5 linked regions of the Mus musculus genome follow. The protein of the gene in region 1 interacts with the protein of each later gene in a biochemical or structural test. Links are inferred from orthologs where the notes say so. Each region holds a gene or a part of one and is shown in the gene's direction. Other genes may lie near its edges.

Evidence for each region.
Region 2: the proteins of Cul3 (region 1) and Kctd17 form a complex in vitro, tested with the Homo sapiens proteins (3 studies listed by BioGRID). The link is inferred for Mus musculus from reciprocal best matches to the Homo sapiens genes CUL3 and KCTD17.
Region 3: the proteins of Cul3 (region 1) and Ube2m form a complex in vitro, tested with the Homo sapiens proteins (2 studies listed by BioGRID, with this or other methods). The link is inferred for Mus musculus from reciprocal best matches to the Homo sapiens genes CUL3 and UBE2M.
Region 4: the proteins of Cul3 (region 1) and Dcun1d4 form a complex in vitro, tested with the Homo sapiens proteins (2 studies listed by BioGRID, with this or other methods). The link is inferred for Mus musculus from reciprocal best matches to the Homo sapiens genes CUL3 and DCUN1D4.
Region 5: the proteins of Cul3 (region 1) and Pef1 form a complex in vitro, tested with the Homo sapiens proteins (2 studies listed by BioGRID). The link is inferred for Mus musculus from reciprocal best matches to the Homo sapiens genes CUL3 and PEF1.

The regions. Positions count from the first base shown.
Region 1 is NC_000067.6:80,337,876-80,342,208, reverse strand, and holds the start of Cul3 (cullin-3), read left to right. Parts: upstream 1-1,518; 5' UTR 1,519-1,897; coding exon 1,898-1,963; intron 1,964-4,333. UniProt on the Homo sapiens protein: Core component of multiple cullin-RING-based BCR (BTB-CUL3-RBX1) E3 ubiquitin-protein ligase complexes which mediate the ubiquitination and subsequent proteasomal degradation of target proteins.
Region 2 is NC_000081.6:78,427,254-78,431,417, forward strand, and holds the start of Kctd17 (BTB/POZ domain-containing protein KCTD17), read left to right. Parts: upstream 1-1,310; 5' UTR 1,311-1,404; coding exon 1,405-1,614; intron 1,615-2,788; coding exon 2,789-2,897; intron 2,898-4,164. UniProt on the Homo sapiens protein: Substrate-adapter for CUL3-RING ubiquitin ligase complexes which mediates the ubiquitination and subsequent proteasomal degradation of TCHP, a protein involved in ciliogenesis down-regulation.
Region 3 is NC_000073.6:13,035,125-13,039,347, reverse strand, and holds the start of Ube2m (NEDD8-conjugating enzyme Ubc12), read left to right. Parts: upstream 1-1,369; 5' UTR 1,370-1,618; coding exon 1,619-1,727; exon of another isoform or gene 1,728-1,774; coding exon of another isoform or gene 1,775-1,793; intron 1,794-2,687; coding exon 2,688-2,782; intron 2,783-2,875; coding exon 2,876-2,914; intron 2,915-3,032; coding exon 3,033-3,136; intron 3,137-3,442; coding exon 3,443-3,506; intron 3,507-3,593; coding exon 3,594-3,734; 3' UTR 3,735-4,223.
Region 4 is NC_000071.6:73,489,604-73,493,879, forward strand, and holds the start of Dcun1d4 (DCN1-like protein 4), read left to right. Parts: upstream 1-1,422; 5' UTR 1,423-1,563; coding exon 1,564-1,588; intron 1,589-1,827; exon of another isoform or gene 1,828-1,931; intron 1,932-2,054; exon of another isoform or gene 2,055-2,073; intron 2,074-2,579; exon of another isoform or gene 2,580-3,473; intron 3,474-4,276. UniProt on the Homo sapiens protein: Contributes to the neddylation of all cullins by transferring NEDD8 from N-terminally acetylated NEDD8-conjugating E2s enzyme to different cullin C-terminal domain-RBX complexes which are necessary for the activation of cullin-RING E3 ubiquitin ligases (CRLs).
Region 5 is NC_000070.6:130,106,227-130,110,409, forward strand, and holds the start of Pef1 (peflin), read left to right. Parts: upstream 1-1,329; 5' UTR 1,330-1,400; coding exon 1,401-1,424; exon of another isoform or gene 1,425-1,892; intron 1,893-4,183. UniProt on the Homo sapiens protein: Calcium-binding protein that acts as an adapter that bridges unrelated proteins or stabilizes weak protein-protein complexes in response to calcium.

The DNA.
Region 1 (4,333 bases):
GTAATAAGAAATAGAGCCATATGATAGGACAGCCAATAGAAAAAGGTTTTATATCCTGATAATTATGGAAATGGCAATCAATTAGCATACTAGTTATAAACAACTATGCATCACTCACTATATTCATCAGAGCCCTTCCTTGTTTTACTTAACCCATTCTTGATATTTTATTTTTAGCTTAACTCTCTAAGCTTAGTCATTACAAATAATTTAGGGTCAATTCAACCATAAATAAACAAGCTTTATCAAGTTTTCCCTTTTGGAGGGCGGGGGTGTGTGAAGGGTGTTCAAGACAGGGTTTCTCTGTGTAGCCCTGGCTGTCCTGGAACTCACTCTGTAGACCAGGCTGGCCTCGAACTCAGAAATCCACCTGCCTCTGCTTCCCAAATGCTGGGATTAAGGTCATGGGCCACCAATTTCAATTGTAGGTGCTAATCCCAACAACAGTTCACTCAAAATGGGAAGATCCAAAACTGGGAGAATCTCAGATTTCCCAGGGGCGTTGGAAACAGCAAATGAGCAAGTATGCAAGGTAGATGTAGGATTCATACTGAATTAGAAGCCAAAAGCAGTCGAATTGGACATTTCGACTATAGGATAAGAGTCCCCGAACAAATAGAAAAATGTCTCCAAACCTACAGCAAACTTAATTTCACAGTGCTTTTGGTTTTAATGATCTATACTGTTCTTGGAAATGGTCGTATGTTTAACACAATATTGTAGTATATTAGGCATTTGTTTTATTTCGGCACAAACAAAAACCGGGTTTTAACATTAGTGGGCTCTGGATCCTCCAGAAGGTATCAACTAATGAACAAACCCAGGAGCTTGTACAGTGTAAGAAGGCCGGGTTGATTCTGAGGCGCTGCAACACCTAGCTAAAAACAGGACACTGGTTTCGCAGTCTGCAGGTAACTCAAGCACAAACCCTGCTTTCAAGTTTCTGGCTGGGCTCAAGTACCCATCCCTAGGCCACGTGCCCTAGAAAAACACAGGAGCAGTTCTAGGACGTAGAACCTTCCTCCTCGCACCCCACGCCCTTTCCCAGGACTACCTACCTACTAGGGCCAAGCTCAGCCCCGCCAGCCCACAACACAACACTCCCCTCTCCCCCTTCCGGAAATTCCCCCGCCCACTACCCACGTGACCCACCACCTTCGCGCTCCACCAATCAGAAGCCACCTCAGCCTACTGGGGTCTCCGACGCTCCTCTTTTGAAAACGCAGCCTACGTCTCCTGCACCAGGCCCCGCCCCCCAGGGCGCTGACTACGCCCATTCCTTAATCCACCCCTCTCCCCCCTCCCCACCACGTTCAGACCCCACTTCTCCCTGCGCCCTCCCTTCCCGGGCTTCGCCCCACCCCGCCCCCGACCGCGCGCCCGCCCCGATCTCGCGAGATCTGACGTGCCCGCCGCGGCCTCCCGCCTCCCCTCCCGTCCTCCCGCCCCCTCCCCCATCTCTCCACTCTCCGCTCTCCTCCCTCCCTCCTCCCCCCTCCACCCTCTGGGCCGGATCTCGTCTCGCTGAGGCGGAGGAGGAGAAGGAGGAGGAGGACGTTCGGCCTGCGCAGTGAGATGTTTGTCCGTCGCCGCCGCCGCCGCCATCGCGGAGGAGCGCGATAAAGGGAGCCGAGCCCGGCGCGAGGGGAAGCCCGCGGAGCCGCCGCGCCAGCGCAGCCCCCGGCCGAGCCCGAGCCGCCCGAGCCCGAGCCGCCGCCCCCGCCGCCGCGGCCGCCCAGGGGCCGGCCCGCCGCCCAGCCCAGCCCGGGGGCCGCGCCGCCGCCCCCCGCCGAGCCCCGCGGCTGCCCTCCCGCCTTCAATGTGACACCGGCGCCTCCGAGTGCGAGCCGCAGCCGCCGCCGCCGTCAGCGCCGCCGCCGGGGAGGGGCCGAGCACCATGTCGAATCTGAGCAAAGGCACGGGCAGCCGGAAGGACACCAAGATGCGGATCCGGGCCTTTCCGGTGAGTCGGTCCTCGGCGCCCGGGACCGGGAGCCGCGGCCCGGAGCCGCACGCGAGGCCGGGGCTGAACTCCGCCAACAGGCCGCAGCCGGCCTCCCCTCCCCCCACGGCCGCCGCCGGTGGCGGAGCGCGAGGCTTCCCGGCAACGGGGCGGCGCGGGGCCGGGTCGGCCACCTCCGGGGCCGTTCCCCGCGCCCCGGCCGCCCCGGGGCCTCCTTCGCTCGGGCCTCGGGGGCCGCGGCCCTGAGGGGATGCGCGCTGTGGCCGCCGCACCCGTCGCGTGGGGCGTGTGTGTAACTTTTAGCGTGCGGTTTCCAGAAGGAGCCGGCTCGGCTTTTACGGCGGTGGGGAGGACTGTCCACCTCTGCTCGACTCCGTAGTCAGGGGCGGTCTTGCCATCCCACTGCCCCACTCACTGACAGAGATGCTAGAAATGCCCACTGGCAAAACACTAGGAGCATAGTATTTATAGCATCCTTGATCCTGCAAAGCTTCCTAAGCGCTTGACCCACTCCGGTTCAGAATCGCCCCTCCACTTCTTGGAGGGCCAGGCACAGCTTTTCCGTGTCTTAGTCAAGGAGGTCCCCAAGAATAGTTGCCACTCAGACTTGTTTTACCTTGTACGTTTTTAGCGACAGCAAACATTTGCTCTTCAGAAACTTTTCCTCTTGGCGTTACGTTGAGTCATAGGCTTGCGGTGTTTAGTAGATGGAGTAGTATGTAACTTTGGATGTCATGCCTCGATCAGATAGCCAGTGGCAGGCAATTAAAATGTCCTGTTGTAACAAACTGGACGTACTTGCTCGTGTCGCTACAGTGACAGGTAAATGTCAAATAGACAAGCCATCAGTGGAGCAGAATTGTAAAAGTAAAACGGAGGGAGGTTGTTTTTCCCTTCTAAGACTCATAAGCATTCTGTCGTGTGGGAGGGGAAGGGGGCCTTTGTCATCACTTTTTGAACAGGCTTTTCCTGAAGTACCCTTTGCTGTGAGGAATGAAAGACCACGATAGTATTGTCTGAGTTAAGTAACTTTGCCTTGGAGAACTTGAGGGCCTCTGAATTCCTCATCCCAAAGAAGTGTACAAGCGATGCAGAATTGTGACTTTGCAAGGGACATATTGTCAGCATGTAAAAACTTGCACCTTTATGTAAATAAATGGGCTCTATGTTAACATGTAGGGTATAATCAGGAGGACGAGATACTTTAATAATAATTGCATTATGAACGATTTTTTTAAGTAAATAAGAGATTACACCAGAAAGTGAGAAATGCTAGAAACACAGTGCCAATAAAGGTAACTATTATGTTTTCCTTTGTAATTGGACAGTGAGCCAGGTTTATGAACTTGAATAATTTCCCTACCTAATCAACCACCCAAGTGATTGTCAAATCCACATCCTTCCCTCTTTTTTTTTAAGCGAATTCAGACATGGTTGTTTTTTATGTTTTAATTTTTTTTTAATCAACTATGACACTGATTTTTCTAGGAAATATTTACTCTTGGTTCTGTTGTTTCTTTGTTGTTTAGTAAAATGTGAAAGAGCTTATATTTGACCAGTTAATATTTTTCAGAGTAACCGGTTCTACCTTTATCTGTGTTTGCAGCTCTTTGACCTCTAGGTTTCTCTACTTGAACCTGTTTTCCTCTCCCCATATACTGAGTACTGTATGCAGGCACTGTTTATTCCTAGAGCTTTAGGACTTAGCAGTAGATGTGAAAAAGGAAAAGATCAGTGGTTTCTGGAGCTAGCATTAGGGATTAGAAGCAGGAAGAGAATTTTGTACCATTAGCTGAATGAAGATGGTATTAGTGTGTGATAGGCTAGTACTAAAACTGAGATTTTTGTTTTGTTTTTTGTTTGTTTTCCAGTTCATAAGTAAATAACCATAAGTTGTTCCCATTGAAATAATTGGCTATTGTTGAGGCTAAATAATGCTCCAGTGATATTTTATTGAGTTCTGGGAAGTGAGTCCATTAGGCTGTCAGAATTGCTTTCATTCAGATTAGATGTCTTGTATATAAGTACAACCCACTTGGATTCTTAGAAGTTAAAATACATAGTATTTCATACACAAAAAATACCATTTATGTTTATTACATGTGTGTATTCCTACAACTGTTATGTGTTATACTATGTGGATATGTAGTTAGCTATAAGTAATGGCAGTTGCTCATTTCAGGTTTTTTATAAAATGGATGTATAAAAGGAATGAAGTAAGTTTAGACTTGTTTGATTTTTCATTGTACAATAGTGGTAAGTTAACTTACAGAATATATTTCATATATAGATGAGTACTTTATCAAAAAAGTACTTTATTAAAGTTCTACCAAATCAGGTTCTCTTACATTTTTAGTGCATATTTTAAGT
Region 2 (4,164 bases), on another chromosome or scaffold:
CAGGTGGGCATGACTGTAGGAGATTGTCTTGATTACATTAATTGATGTGGGAAGACACAGCCCACTGTGGGAGACACCATTCCCTAGGCTTCAGCCCAGGACGGTGTAAGAGTGGAGACAGTGAGCTGAGTACAAGCATACATTTGTTCTCTCTCTGCTCTTGATTGTGGATGTGGCTAGCTGCCTCGAGGTCCTGGAACCTAGACTTCCCTATAGCAAAGAGCTCATATGGAATTATGAGCCAAATAAACCATTTTCTTCCTACGTTAGCTTTTGGCAGGATGTTAATATTACATCAACAGAAAGTGAAACTAGGCCATCCCTAAGTCAGGTCTTTTTGTACCTGCTGTGTTGTCCTAAAAGGAACAACTGTCCTCAGGAACTCACTGAACAGTGGGGTGAGAACAGCAGTGACCATGTCCCCCAAACAGGATCCTCCCCCTCCCCTGTTTCCTCTCCATTCTGCTAGCCCAGCAATCACCTTGAATGCCAATGCTAGAGTGACCATTTCCAAACCCTAAGCCCATTCCTCCTTTGCTGAGAGCTTTGGAGCCTCCCCAGTCCTGCTGCACACCCCACACTCCCATCAAGGAAAGGCATCTGGGGGGCCTGGGCATCTCAGCATCATGGGGGAGGGGGCTATTCTAAAACTCCCCTTCCCCACTTTGTAGAGCCGATCCATGCCTCATCTCCAAGCTTCAGGTCAAGCACATATGGAAGCCAAGTGGCACCAGAGAAGCCAGTACCTGAACTTCATCTTCTGAACGTTCACTCTTTAAGCAGACTCCGTAGCATTCAGACTAGACCAAGACTGGCATCCAGAGCAACCCGGCAGGGATGCAGGAAGCTTAAAGGAGTCATATGTATGCTCACACAGCTTCTGGCACACAGAAACGTTCAGCCAGCCCTAAGCCCAACTACATATCCTCAAAGAATTTAGGAAGAGGTGGTGACTATACCTCATCCCCGTGGTCTTTGCCACACACGGGACAAAAAAGAAACACTGCTGATGTGGCTCATGCACGCATATGCACACACGCACATGCTCACACACAGGCGCGTGCGCCTATTTTTAAAAGTAGGTTCAGGTAAATATAGGAATTTCTGGAGGAAGAAAGTTCTTCTCAGGTCAGGTATTCCTCAGCTGGGGCCCCCGTACAAAGCAGAACAAATGGGGGGGGATAGCCAATGAGGAAATCACTGTTTTCGCAGGGCCTTCTGCAAACCAAGCAGTCTGGCCACACGGAGAGACCAGATGATAGATCACCAAGAAAGGCAATGTGGGGCGGGACGTGCTGTCCGAGCAACACCAGGACAAGCGCAGAGCATCCCAGCCCTGGCTCCAGACTACAGCTCCCGGCATGCCCTGCACCTGGTACTCGCCCGCGGCGTGCGGAGGGAAGGATGCAGACAACGCGGCCGGCGATGAGGATGGAGGCCGGGGAGGCAGCGCCACCGGTGGGGGCGGGCGGCCGCCCCGGGGGCGGCTGGGGCAAGTGGGTGCGGCTGAACGTGGGGGGCACGGTGTTCCTGACCACCCGCCAGACGCTGTGTCGGGAGCAGAAGTCCTTCCTCAGCCGCCTGTGTCAGGGCGAAGAGCTTCAATCGGACAGGGTGAGCCCTGAGCCCGCTGACAGGGGGGTCCTGGCCCCGCGCTCCCGGGCTGTCCCGCCTGCGCGTCCCTCGGCCTCTGGCTTTCCTAGGATTCTGAGGCGGGGAGCCGAGGCAGGAGGAGGGGGAGGAAGAGGAGCCGAGAGGAATAGCTATACCCATTGCCGTGGCAACGGGACAGCACAGGCCGCAGCCATTTAGAGCTTTGGAGAGCTGCCCCAGATCCGGGACGCTTCCTTACTGTGGAGCGCTGGGGAGGGACCAACAAACCGGGCCTGCCTTACTGCCCTGGCTGACTCTTAAAGGAGTTGATGCGGCTGCTTCTCCCCGCCCTTAGGGTGTGGGCAGCTGAAGGGTACAAGGAACTAGATGGAGGAGGCCTGGGTGTCTTGGAGCTGGGCTTAATGTAGGGAAGAGCACTGGCTTTGGAGCTATCACTTGTGGGCTCACCCTGCTCTCCTGCCAAATTCCCAAATGACCAGGGAGGAATCGGGAGGAGAGGGGAACTTCCCTGCTCTCTGACTTTGGCCTCCTAGTGTGCAAGGCCTCTGGAGTTGGCTTGTCAAAGTCCCCTGTCCCCCATTCTGTGGCCCTCTTACACTGTGCCCTTGGGTGAGTCCCCTGTCCCTTGATGTCTCCGTCTTCTGTGCTGGGTTGTCCAGATCCCAGTCCTCCCTGCAGGCTGCACTTGTCCAATCAGAGTGCAGCTTCTTTGGAAACTTGCAAACATCTAGTGAATAGTGGGGTTGGCTGGGGGTGGGGGTGGGCGCGGTACACAGCCTCCAAGAGGGAAACTTTCCTAAGAGGGAAATTCACTGGGTCCTGTGCTGAGAGAGAGGTAAGGGGCCACTCAGGAATCCGGTCACCCTCTATACTCACATCTAATCCTCTGACTATGGGAGAAAGAAGCAACGCTCCAGAGGCCAGATGATTGGCTCAAGGTCACACAGCCTGGAAAAGGCAGAGGCAGGGTTCGAACCCAGATCCTTACTGCTTTCTTCCTGCTTCCTCTCTCCCTGTAGCCATTCTTCCAGCCAGCCTGTGGTGACTTGAGTTTATGTGTGTGTGTGTGTATGTGTGTATGTGTGTGTGTGTGTGTGTGTGTTAGGAGGGGTGGGGGTGGCTGGCTTGGGGAAGCTTGCACACCCCTCACTTCCTGTGGTCATCTCCTCCACAGGATGAGACCGGGGCCTACCTCATTGACCGTGACCCCACCTACTTCGGGCCCATCCTGAATTTCCTCAGGCATGGAAAATTGGTGCTGGACAAGGACATGGCCGAGGAGGGTGAGTTGGTCCATTGCGCTGGTCTGGGTCTCTACAGCCTACCGGAGCCTTCAGGGGAGGCCTAAAAAAATTGTCTTGAAGCCAGGACAGTGGCTACATTTCCCCATTATTTTCTGCCTGTCCCAGAGTGGAGTCCCATTCTCCAGGTCTCGGCAAGACCGACAGACCCCCGTGGTCACTGGGTAAATGGCAGGGAAACAGGAAGTGGTAAAAAGGAAGCCAGCCAGGTCCTGAAACATCTGTAGCCTTTGGGAATGTACGTCCTTCCTCCCTGGCCTCTGGCAAGCCAGGCGTAGCCTGTGATGCTCCAGGCTGGATGGGGGAAGGGTTGGGTCTTTTTTCTCGGCCTTACTCTGTGTCTCCCAAGCAAGGGCTTCCCATCAGCCAGGAGGCAAAGTTAGTGGTTCTCCCCCATAGCTGGCAGCCTCTACGGCCCAGTGGCTTGTTGGGGAGAACTTTGGCCTTTCCCAGACCCCTGGAGGCTCATATCCGGGCCCAGCTGATGTGGAATCGGGGTGGGGAATAGATCAGAGCAAGGACCACAGTCATCCCCAAACCAGCTCTCCTCGGTACACTTGAGCTCTGGACCAGGCTAGCTCAGACGTGTCAGTTTTCTTTGAGTCTCTCTTGGTGTCTCCAAAAATACCAAAAAAACAAAAACAAACAAACAAACAAAAAAGGCATCACGACCCACATTCAGAAGACTGTGTGTTGGGACAGATGGGTCCTGTGTACCTGTGGGTGTTTTACACGGCCCTCGCTCTAGGCTATGGTCCTCTCCAGCTGACCCCAGTGGAGTACGGTGATCCAAAGGCTCCCCAAAGGACATCACGCTTAGGGCTTACTGTAGGTAGCTAGCTCTGCGTTAGCCTGCTGAAGCTGCCTAGCAGTCTGAGGGGAAGCGATCACGTGGGTGGGGCCTGGGCTCAGGAGCAGGTCCCTCTGGGAGGCTCATACTCCAGCTGCGTCACAGCTAATACCTGTTTACAGGTTCTAGCGCCTCAACGCTCTGTGCTCTCCTACCCTCAGATGCTCTCCTACCCTCAGATGCTCTCCTACCCTCAGATGCTCTCATACTCTCAGATGCTCTCCTACCCTCAGATGCTCTCCTACCCTCAGATGCTCTCATACCCTCAGATGCTCTCATACCCTCAGATGCGGTGGTGGTGGTGGGGTTATCTGGAGAGATGGAGTTCTCAAGGAGGCAGTGGAAATGTTAGTTTAACCTCTCTGGGTCTGTGAAGGGTAGAAACAGTTGTGCCCGACT
Region 3 (4,223 bases), on another chromosome or scaffold:
GAAGAAAGCAAGCCAGAAAAACAACAGCTGCACAAAAATAGTCAGCATAGATAGTAACTGACAAAAATGGTAACTGACAAGACAGTAATGAACAGTTCTAGAGTGATTTGTCTGAGTCTCAGAATGAGCTAGCCTTAAAAAGTCAGGAGGAGGAGGGTGCTGCTGGCTAAGTCTGGAATGTAGAACCGCGGGTCATGCTGGGTGGCACAAATGCTGTCAGATGGCAAAGAGCAGAACAGAGTCCGAACCTGTTCTGGCCATGTTTTTCAAGCTGTGACCAGACAAGCAACAAGAAGCATTTAGACTCTGGCTTCGGCTGGATTCCTAGATGACAGCCTGAAGTCACTGACCCATCCTGAGCTATTTCCTTCTGCCTCCCAAGCACCCTAAGCTCACTCAACATAAGCCAATCGAGAGGCACAATGCCACTCGAGAGAGCCAATGCCACTTCTGCTGTTCTCTAAGCCGCAGTTATGAGTCCTATACCCACGTCCACCTTGGACCCTAGAACTACACAGTTGCTCACAGCCTGTTGCACAATAGAAATCTATTTTAAGGAACAAGAGTCTCGATGTGTTGCCTAGGGTATCCCTGAGCGCCTGGGCTCAAGCCAACTTGATGCCTCAAGCCTCCAGAGCAATTCGAAATTTAAACTAGTTTACATCAATCCGAATCTGGGATTGCGGTGGGATTAGGGGAGCCTGCTTCTGCACCCTTCGACAACGTCCCTTAAAACGTCCAGGCCCTGCGTTTGCTGAATCCTCAGAGAGCAAAGATCCAGTCTAGCCCGGTTCCGCTGCGCTCCGCGTAAGTGTAAGATTGAATGGAACCACCGAGAGCCAAACGGCCACTCACTACCCGCCTCGCTCAAAAATGGTCGCAAGCACTGCTTCCTACTCTACTGGGTGCGCGTCCCAGGAAGTACCCGCTAGACCGCCGAATAGTCACCTCCACAAACGGAAATACCCGAGCTTAACCGAAAAAGACCGAACCTCAAACTACAATGAGGAGGAACCAGGGGGCTGCAAGGGTTGCGCAGGCGCAGAGCACAGCTGAGGCAGGAAAAACCGAAGTGGGCAGGCGACGGAAAGTGCCGAAGCGGCGGGGCGCCCGAGGCCGTTGCCGACCTCCGCATCGAAGCCGCGCCTGCCGCGGAAGCTGAGCCTCCACCGGTACCCTGCGGTACCCTGCCGCCGCAAGCGCGGCTACCGCCTCCTCCTTCCACCTCACCGCAGCCTCCTAGCAGAGGGAGCAAGTAGGCGGGAGAGCGGCGGACCTGTAAAGGCCGGCGTCCGCAGCCGCAGCGGGGCCTCACCAGACCCAAGCGGAAGAGGGGGAGGAGGGCGCGGGGACCGTAGCAGGGGCGGGGCCGAGGATCGCCGAGTCCTCCCGAGCACCTCCGAACACACCCGAGGTGCTTAGCCAGGCCAGAGCCGGACTACGGGAGCCGAGGCGGGCCGTGCGGTGGGCGCGGAGCAGCGCGGCAGGCCGGGCGAGCGGCAGCGGAGGAGGCCGCGGTAGCGGGTCCGAGGAGCGGAAGCGGCGCAGGCGGCGGCGGGGGGCCGGGTGGCCGGGGTCCCGGGCCCCCGCGGCGGCGGGCTGCGGCGGCGGCGGCAGGATGATCAAGCTGTTCTCGCTGAAGCAGCAGAAGAAGGAGGAGGAGTCGGCCGGCGGCACCAAGGGCAGCAGCAAGAAGGCGTCGGCGGCGCAGCTCCGGATTCAGAAGGGTAGGGGTCGGGACCCTGCGTTCGAGGTCAGGGACCGTGGCGAGAAAATGCGGCCCCTGATATTTGGTATTGGTGGTCAGGTTTCGAGGGTTGTGATGCGGGACTGGGGGTGCGGTCACTAGGGAGGGTCATAGATTGGGGCGTTGGGATACTCGGGCCTGGAGTGTTAGGGACGCGGAATCTGTTAGGGGAGGGGTATAGTTTTGAGAGTCAGACGAGAACTTTGCTCTGGGGTGCCGTGTCGTGAAGATTGTGAAGGTTACGAATTGGGAATAAGTGGGAGACGGTTTAGTGTTTTAAACTGGGGACTCGTGGCCCAAGACTCAGGTCCAGAGGGTCAGGCAGAGCAATTTTGAGTTTGAGGTGAAGAGGAGGGAGAAAAGAAGGTTACAGGAACTAAAAAATGTGAGTGTGGGTCAATTTAAGCTACCATACAGGAAATCTCAAGGATGAGATGGGATCTTGGGCTTGTAATAAGATGGAGACGAGGAAGGACAGTGGAGGTGGGTGGTTGATGAGAAGGGGTGACTTAGTGTTGGGGGGCCGGTGTCATGGTCCTTGAATTGCGGTGGACAGATAAACAGTAGTGAGTGGAGATAATGACTAGAGATAGAAAACCTCAGGTTTAAGGTGCTCAGGGTTCTTGGAAGCAAGGGTTATGGGAGTAGAGGTTCTTGGGGACTATGTTGTGGGAACTTGTGGAGGACTTAGCTGGGTAAGGGTTTTCCCAAGAGATGGGCAGTTATACTTGAAGATGCTTGTATATGGGATACTGTGTATCCAGAAGAGTCCACGTAGAGACTGGAAAGTGGAAAGAATATGGAGTAGTACAGACTGAGTTAAAGTACACCACACAAAGCTCTTCAGGTCTAGAAAGCGAACTTATGGGTTCTGCTGACACATGCCCAGACCTCCTTTCTTTTACCTGTTTCTCTCCCTTTCCATGCTGTCCAAACCTAGACATTAACGAGCTGAACCTGCCCAAGACGTGTGACATCAGCTTCTCAGACCCAGACGACCTCCTCAACTTCAAGCTGGTGATCTGTCCTGATGAAGTAAGAGTAAAACAGGGCAGGATTCCCAAGAACAGACCAGGGGTGGCCCCATAAGAGTAGGGTCTTCATTCACTCTCCCCCTTCCTCTTCCAGGGCTTCTACAAAAGTGGCAAGTTTGTATTCAGCTTTAAGGTGAGTCTCAAGTGTACAAAGGTAGCTCTGTGGAGAAGACTGGGTACAACCAAAACACCTTCCCATCTCCTTTCTCTTTTTACACCTTCCCATCTCCTTTCTCTTTTTCTGGAGCCAGGTGGGACAGGGTTACCCACATGACCCTCCCAAGGTGAAGTGTGAAACAATGGTTTATCATCCCAACATTGACCTCGAGGGCAACGTCTGCCTCAACATCCTCAGGTGAGGGCACTGCCTTCCTTTCCCTCCCAAGACCTGCCTTCCAGGTATCCTCAGCCTTCTGTGGACACTGCATCTATCTCTGTCCTTCCCTCCCCTTTATGGTCAATCTGTTTCTGTCTTAGTTGTTTTTCTAATGACCTGACCTTGGCTTTCTCTGTGTCCTGCCCTGTCCCGTATCTTCACTCTTAGATCTCACACTTCAATGTTAAAAGGCCTTCTATGGGCCTAACCTGTTCAGTATTAGCAGGGCCTGTAGCAGCCTCCCACTCACCAGCCCCTGATAACCTTGATGCTCTCTGCCCACAGAGAGGACTGGAAGCCAGTCCTTACGATAAACTCCATAATTTATGGCCTGCAGTATCTCTTCTTGGTAAGTAGGGTTAGGCATTTGAAGCTGAGGGTTTGTTGGCCATCTGCCTCTCTCTTGCCTGTTGACTTCCACTTGTACCGGCCACAGGAGCCGAACCCTGAGGACCCACTGAACAAGGAGGCTGCTGAGGTCCTGCAGAACAACCGGCGGCTGTTTGAACAAAATGTGCAGCGCTCCATGAGAGGTGGTTACATCGGGTCCACCTACTTCGAGCGCTGCCTGAAATAGGGTTAGCAATTACCCATCCCTGCCAGGGTTACCGGCCCAGGCATCCCCTGCAAATATTTATTGGGGGCCCGGGTAAGGTGTGTGGGGTAGCCTTGGCCCCTGCCTTGGCCTTGCCTCTCTTCCCTGTCACCTGCCCCTAGTTATTTTTTTTTTGACCACCACGTGATTATGGTCGGTGCTGCCTCCCCCCCGACCTGCTCAGCGATGGGAAATGAATTGGCTTGTTTAGCGCCCCCCCCCTCCCGCTGGGTGCTGTCCAACTCCCCACTCTTGACTGTGGGGTAAGTGGGCAATGGGCCTGGGTCGCTAGGCCCAAGCAACCCACCCCACCACCACTGGAGGTCCCACCAGGCTATTAAAGGGGAATGTTACTGCATGGCCTCTGCCTCTTCCTTCTGTGGGGTGGGAGGTACAAGTGAGGTCCACCAGCGTCTATAATGAAGATAAATGTGGCCGTGGATTGGGTGGGACCACTCACTGGGATGAGGT
Region 4 (4,276 bases), on another chromosome or scaffold:
ATAAGCACTTAAAAAAATATAGAAGCTCCCAACCCAGGAGCCTACAAGTACCTTCCTTTGTTTATGAGACTTGGCTAAGACTCTGTCCTGTTAAGGAGACCCAAAAGAATGCTCTATGAAGAGTTCTTGTCTTCAGATGCAATTCTGATATTTTGCAATTTGATGAAGTGAATCATATGCATTTGAATGACAAATATGAAAGATTGCGTTATTGGGATTCAATTTAATTACAGAGAAATAGAGGGCGATGAGATGGAACATATCACAGTAACAAACACAGTGATGTAGATAACAAGGACTGTAAGCTGTTTTGCGCTTGTAACATTTGTCCGGATTTCAGAACTCTACAACTCAAGAGCCTGGGCTGTAGAATTCAGAATCCTAACGCAGGACCCCTTTGTTATCTTTGGTCATATCATCCAGTGCGTGTGGCGGAATCTACAGGCTGTCCAGGCTGTGGTTGGGGCAAGCGAGGTTTGGACATGGAGTGTGTGTTTGCGGTGGGGGCGGGGCGCCCACCCTCGCACATCTCAGCGTTATTGCATTACCTGTGATTGTGGAGAACTGGTTTTCAAGTACTGAAAAACTCCAAGAAACAACAAAAGCAGTATTTAGGACACTTAACAATCACAACCCCATTAACGCTTCCCTCTGCTAAACAGCGGTTTGGCCAGGTTCGACTTATGTTTCTTAGACTTTTATAGTCAGGGGACCTGGCTTATCTTGGTGTCAGGCTGACCCCAGAGCCTAATGTGGCACTAGGTTTTTCTCTCGCTGTCTGGGGACCGCAGAGGTGTCTGACGTTCAATGCCTGAAGCATTCGAAACCTTTGGCGCAAGTAACGCATGACTCTGAATAATTGACTCTGAAAAAGAGGCGCATTTCCAAAGTTGAGGACAGAAAGGTTGTGGCATAAAGGGGAGGAAAGCGGAGATATTTTTCTTCTTCTAATTTTCCGCAATGGGAAACGATTGAGGAGAACCGGCGGGACCCGGGCGCGGGCAGTAGCGGGATCTGGCCGATGGCCTCCCAGGGAACACCAGTCCCTGTGGGCTGGAGCTTGGCTCTAGGTCCCTCAGGCTGCTTTGTTTCGGATGCTTAACCCAGGTTCTCGGCTGGGCTCTCGGTTGGTCTCCCGCTCCAGGATCCGCCCGCCACAGGGCGGGGCTTCAGGGTCAAGGTGGACCAATTCCCCAGTCTCGCCCCTCCACGCGCTTTCGGACCCCTGAATGACTGACAGCCGTTGGGTCCAACCTGCGGCTCCGAACAGTGGCCTCCACCAGGGGCGGTCGGAGGCGAGACGCCGGGGCCAATCACGTTGCAGTCTAGGGGGCGGGGCCTCCTTGCCAGCTGCAGGCGGCGCAACCAGCACTTCTTCGGTCAAATGAGAGCCGAAGAGGGGCGGTCCCCCGGCTGGGGTCTAGCCAATGAGAAGGGCGGGATGGGCGGGCCGGAGAAGAAGCCGGCGGTCCTCTGTTGCGAGCTAAGGTTTGGGGAGTCGGTAGGGGGACCGCGAGTGGAGCGCGGGAGCCCGGGCGGCAGGCGGGTGTGAGCTGCCCGAAAATGCACTCGGATGCTGCAGCTGTCAGTGAGTAGCACAGAGCCAGCGGGCCCGCACACCGCGTCCGCTCCTGCGCTCCCTTCTCCACTTCTCCGGTTCCGATCGCGCTGGAGTCCCTGGCCCGGGAGCGGGTTGAACCCCTCCTGGAGTCCGAGGGCCGTGACGCTGCGGGCGGCTGGGGCGGGGGCAGGGGCGGCGGGGAGGGGGTGGGGACTGGCTGGCTTTCCGCGGTTGGGGGAGGGGGGACATTCTGGAAGGCCGGGGGCCGAGAGTCGGTGGTGCACGGAGGTGGAGACGGCGGCGGGCGCTGGCAGCTGGGGTCGGGGGTGGTACGAGCGGGCAGGGAGAGGGCCTGCGGTCCGAGTACAGGGTGAGGCTTGCGGGGCCCGAGCCGTACGGTCTACCGGGGAAGGCGGGGGAGTGCGAGGGGAGAGGGGGCGGGGACAATGGGAAGGAGGGCTGGGGGCGGGGGCGGGAACAATGGGTGGGGAGCTGGGGCAGCGGCCGGGCCGGTGAGGGGATGGGGGGTGATGTAACGGGGGCCATGGAGTGGGAGACGCCGCGGTGGGATGGGAGAGTTGTGGAGTCCGGTGTGCGGGACGGCGGTCGGGAGTGGGGAGAGGGCTTGGGGGGCAGGTGTTGGGACAGGCGGTCCCCGGAGGAGTGGATGGCGGATAGGACTGCTGTGCAGTTTGGGGGCTGGGACAGGGGTCGGGGAGGGTGTGCGGAGTGAGTTAGGAGGAAGAGTAGGTGGGGAGAAGCGGGGACTGGGAGGGCTGTCATCTTCGGGTACGGTGCTCTTGGGGCGGGGTGGGGAGCGTTGGACTGTCCATTGGGGGAGGCGCCTCCTCCCTGGAGAGGCCCGGTTCCAGCCTAGGAGGGGACCACCATTGAGCCTCGGGGTGCACTGAGGAGAGGGGGCGGGGCCGGGTACCCGGGAGGTGTCCCGAGGCTGGCAGTAGCCTCCGCGTTCGGCGAGCAACGGGGAGCGAGGTCAGCGCGGGCTGGGGTTACAGGACCGGGAGGCCGCTGTCTGCGAGCTGACTCGACCCGCAGGGGTCCTGGAAGCGGGGTGGAGGAATTGGCGTAAGAGGTTGTCGGGGTCCCCGGCGGTCCGTAGGTTTGGCAGTGTGTGACGCAGTTCTCTAATTTCTGGCCATCAGGTGTAGAGGCTGATGCGTCAAGACCTGTTACCTTGTACGGAGGGCCGCTTTGGAGGCATAGCAACGCGCGTGCGAGAAGCTACCTCCGCCCGAAGCACCGGGAGGGTGCTTTAGGGGTTTCCTTTAGGGTCTGGCTCCCCGAGCCGGTGTAAAGGGAAAGGCAGTCTCGTGGAATTCTGGGTCTTGTAGTCCCAGCCGCCCTGGGCCGCGGTTGGATTGGGTGCACGTGGGTAACTGTGGAAACGAGTCCCAGAATTCAGCGCGCCCCTTGGACCCTCCTTGCTTGACTAACTCGTGCTTTATGCCGCGGAGACTCAATGCATTCTCTCCCGGGAGATGCCTGGGTTCCTTGGGACAGTGTCCACCGCAGAGGGAAAGCCCAGGCCAAGCCCTGGCCTTTCTCCAAGATAATTTACCCCTGCATCTGCCTTGGGGAGCGAAAGCTTAGTCTCAAATCATCCTGCACACGTTCGTTTTAAAGCAACGTTTACCATGGAACATTTAGAGCGTGTTCATTGTATGGACGTCTAGAGTGAAGTATATAGCCTTACATAAGTATGGAAACTAAGTAGAGATTCGTAATATCCCTTGTGAAGAAAATACAGATAACTGCACTGGGTATTTCTTGGGCTACTTGGTTTGTCCAAGAGTTAGGGGATTTTTCTTTTGGAAGCGAATCAAGAATGGCAGCTTAGTGGAATTTGGGGTTGAAGTAGTCTCATGCCAGAACCTGCAATGAAATCCTAAAGGTGAGCAAAGGGGAACTGTGATGTCTTAACTTTTATGTAAGTGAAGCGAATGAGGCTGTAAAGTCCTTCCCTTTGGACTATTACAGGTCTTCCTAGTTTGTGGGCATCCTTTGCCAGTTCTCCTTGGTGATCACCCTAAATCAAATGTAGGGACTATAAGATTATTTTTGTGTGGTGTAATGGATACTATGAAACATCCATAATCGCAATGGTTATTGGAGGGGTGTTTTAATAACCCAGCGGTAAACATATTGAGGGCGAGTTTTAATATTTGGAAACGACTTGACACAGTTAAGACAGTACTAAACTTGTCTATGTGTTTGATAATGTTTTTTTAAATTTATTTTTACTATTTTAAGTATATATATATATATATATATATATGTGTGTGTGTGTGTGTGTGTGTGTGTGTATGTGTACATGCATATAGATGCAATGGAGAGCAGATGTGTGTGTGTGTGTGTGTGTATGTGTACATGCATATAGATGCAATGGAGAGCAGATGAAGGGTCCCCTAGAACTGGTGCTTGTGAGCTACTCAACTGAGAGCTAGGAATGGAACTCAGATCCTCTGCAAGAGCAATAAGCACTCCTAATTCTCCAGACCTTACAGGATGGCTTTTGAAATAAGGTCTGAGAAACTTGTGAGAATATGTTTTAGGGAAACAATTTATATCTATCCTGTTTTGACTTACACCTGCAGTAAAATCTCTAAGAACTGTCTTGTATAGAGTATGGACATTTTCCAACAAAGTATTTAATCCAGGATTTGCTGTTGCCGAGTGATTGTGGTGGGGTGGGGT
Region 5 (4,183 bases), on another chromosome or scaffold:
CATTGGTCTTTATGAATGAGTGTTGTAACCCTGAGTGTGAGAGGCTGTGACTAGTTCATTTTTAAGTTAGCATTTTCCTAAGTTGTATTCCAGAAAACTGTGACTCAGAGAGGTTAAATGACTTCTTCAAGATCACACAGCTAGAAACTGTTTAAAAAAGAAAACGAACAACAGGATCTGCTCACTAACGCCAGTGCTGAGGGGGAAGCTGAGCAAAGAAATAAGCCAGCGGGGCGCTGGTGGGTAAGGCTGGGCCAGATCACGAAGGAACTGGATCACCAGACTTGTCTTCCTCTGCAGGTAAGGATGAGGACCGTGCTTTGCAGACTGTCCTATGGCCAGTACCACGATCAGCAGTGGGACTGTGGAAAGTGCCTGGCTAGATTGAAAGCTCAGGACTTTTTATTTAAAAAGTATAGTGTTGGCACTGTAGATACTGGGGATACAATTATAAGCAAATCAAACACAATTCTTGTCCACATGAGAGTTTTTGTTGTTGCTGCTGCTGCTGTTGTTGTTTGAGACAGAGCCTCATTATGCAGCCATGGCTAGACTGGAACTGTCTATGTATGTATGCTTGCTTCTGCCTGCTGAGACTAAAGGCATGTGCCACCAGGCCCGGCCACGTGGGAATGTAACTAATCAAATAAACATGCAACCAAGTTTAGAACCTAAACCCCAAGAGCCAAGTACAGGAAAGTTGGTAACTTAGGAACTGTGATTTGACCTACAGAGGGAATAAAACCTCCTTGTTGAGACCTAGTCATCTACTGACACTAGTTCTAGGCCGTACTTTGCTGAGGAACTCACTGTGAGTTTAGGTAACTAAGTCATTGCCTTTCTGAGCCTCAGTTTCCCCATACATAAAGATAGGAGCACCGTGACATCTTAATTTTCCTTCTCTTCTGGCGGTCTGACCTTTCTCCACTGTCCACGGGTCTGTTTAGTACCCACGTTCTAAATGGCACCTGCATTCCAGGAAAGGCTTAAGTTCTCAGTAGCCATGGCAACCGCCTGGGCGTTAGAAGTAAAGTGATCACGACAGTGACGTAACTAATATGCGTCAGGTTATAATATGGCCTTGCCAGGTTATAATATGGCCACCACAGAAACAACTGACCAAGTCTCCCCATTAGATAACTACAGCTGGCCAGGCCCGAGGTCCGCTGCAGGTCACGAAAAATAAAAACAAACGAGCCACTACGGTCAACAACACTTCCGGACACTCCTACCCAGCCCTCTGTAAGGTACCAGCTCACCGCCTGTGACTTCCGTTTGTTGACCGGAAGATTGACAGCCTGTCCGTCCAATCACAATCGGACCCGCCCCAAAATCCAACCAGGAGCGGCATTGGGAGCAGGAAACTCCGCCTACCACAGTTGTGTGACGTCATAACCGCCATGGCCAGCTATCCAAACGGACAGGTGAGTTGTAGTGGCCCCTGCGTCAATATTTGGGCTTGTCTATAGATCCGGTACCACTCTCCATCCTCGGCTCTTTCTCCCCACTTGATCCGCAGCCTTTTCACGCAGAGGTTTACTTCAACAAGACTCTGTGTGAGCGAGAAACAGGAGGGCCAGTCCGTCGCGCTCGTTTTACGTCACATAGGACCACTCGAGGGGTTGTTTATATTGCGCAAAACTGGCTTTGGGGGTTTTGCTGTGAATTGATCCGGGCTGAACCGGACCAGGGTGCTTAACTCAGGTCTCCGTGGGGCGGAGTCCTCTGTGCTCTCGAGGCGTTTAGAGCTCTTTTTCCCTTGGAGTCTTTCTGGGCGTAACTTGATAAAAACAAGTTGCCCGACTCTCTCAGCACCGTCCTGCGACCGAATAATCTCGGGACAATCAGTGGTAGGAGGTACCAGAAGTGAGATTACACCCCTCACGGTTGTCCAGCGTCCTTTCACACGTAGGAAAAGTGAAACCCAGAGAAGATATGGAGTTTATCTAAGTTACCAAGTAGTTAGGCAGCAGAGCCAAGGTCAGAACTTGGGTTGTCTGCAACTGCTTCTTCCTTCCTTTCTAGCCTGCCTTGAACCAGCCGGGAACATCATTTCAGTGTGATTTATTTTGTGGCCAGAATTAGGTGACATAGAGGTGCCAAATGCAGTTTTGAGTTAAAAGTGGAGCCAGATCTTTGCCGCATTAGTTTTAAGTCTTTTTTTTTTTTTTTTTTTTTTCCTGATCCAGTTTCCTCTCATAAAATGGACCAAGTAGTAAGAGTCCACCCCTCACAGAGTTATTAGGAAGAACGATGTGATTCCTGTAGGCATATGCTATGCTATACGGTAAAGTGTAACATCACTTTGTAGGAGTTTTCAAAGCAGGCCCCTCACTTCGAAATAATTTGGACAAAATAATCGTCCTGATCACAGAGTAGTTTAAGAGATTAGTCTCATGTATGGAAAGTGGAATGCAAAGTCAAATGGGTTATTACCAAGCTTTGATTGGCCATAGTCACAGACTAAAAGATATTTAAAGGCCTATGTGGTTTATATAGCATTTCTTACATTTACTTTGTGTGTGTGTTGGGGGTGGGGAGAGGGCGGCTACACATGTGCACATGCACAGGAATTATTTTTTTCTCTATCATGTGGGTCTTGGGGATCAACCTTCTTGGGCCTTTCAGCAAGCCCCTTTACCCACTGAGTCATCTTGCTGGCTCCCACACAGCAGTTGGGCCCCCATTGTGCCCATATGAAGACCCTGTAAGCATGCAGGGCTTATTATTTTGACTTATAGCTGAGGAGCAAACCCAGAGAGGCTTAGAGGTCTCACATAGCTGGTGAGGGTGAGGCCAGGGTTAGAGCTTTGAATTCCACTTATTGCATACTTGGCAGAAGTGAGTAGAGGCCAGTGTGGGCTCCAAGTAGGAAGAACTACCACAGCCTGGCTTCCCAGACTCCGCCCCACTTGCTGGGTTTTGTGAGATGTTAATGGGTGCTCTTGATAGAGGATCCTGTGGTTAAGCAAGCTTGGGAACTGCTCTGTTAATACAGCGTGGTAATGCTCACTGCAAATCTCCCAGAAAGTCATAGAATGCGTCATAGTCCTAAAAACTTTCTTAACCAGGGACCACCCTACCCCATCTGTTTTGAATTACGTCTGCTCATTGTTTTGTGACAAGCTGGTGTTCCACGGGAGCTCAGGTTGGGAAAGCATTCCCATAGTACATATTTTTAGTGGCTGGTTTGTATCAGAATTACCTGAGAGCTTGTTTAAAGGACAGATTTGGGCCCCATCTAAGACCTGCTCTAAGCTTAGATGGCACAGATCCCACCCCCAAATTGTGAGGGGTGTGTGTGTATTTACCTGTGTGGGGACAGTAAACATCTGTAAACCAAAAGTTGACAATTGAGTGGCTGCCTCAGTTCTCAGTTGTTCCCCAACTTATTTTTTGAGGCCATCTCTCAATGAACAGGGAACTCACTGAGCCAGATTATCTAGCCAGTGAGGGATCTTCATTGCCTCTGCCTCCCCGGGCATACTTTGTCCTACCTGGCTGAGGATCCGTGCAAGTAGGTTGTCTTGCTTTCATGGCACACAGTATACCAGTAGAGTGATCCTCCTAGCCCCAGTAATCTACGTCTTAATACGTGTTAGGAATGATTTGTATACACTCTAGAAGCAGTGTCCTGGGCAAGAATCCAGCTCTACCCACTTAAATGTTATATGCCCTTGGCTACATCATGTAATGGCTCGGGGCTTTAATTCTCTTACCACAGAAAGGGAGGAATAGGGCCTGTGGAAAGGGTGCGAGAAGGGTGGGATGCTGCACAGCCTGTAGGGAGCTCTGCAGTCACGGGTGCACAGGGTGTGGCGTGGCGGTGACACTCCCTGCCATTGCCGTGACGGTTACTTTGCCAGGCTGCCTGGGCTTCTGTTGAGGGCAGAATACTGAAAGGGAGCACTAGAAGGAAATGTCTGGAATAGAAGAAGAAATATAGCTTTTATTCCCACCTTAGAGTTGTCCGCCTCCTCATCCCAGGTGTTCTAAGAAAGGAAAACTGCTTGTTTGAAGTCATGCAGAGGCGCAGGCAGTGCTGCCTCCTTCCACCCACTGGATACTTCCGAGGATTACAGCCGTTGGTGGGAGTCACAGTTCCTGTAATTTTCCATTGCCTCCGGCCCAGGGTGCACAGGCGCTGCCTTGGTATTGAAGTAGCAAAAGTTGAGTGCCGTTT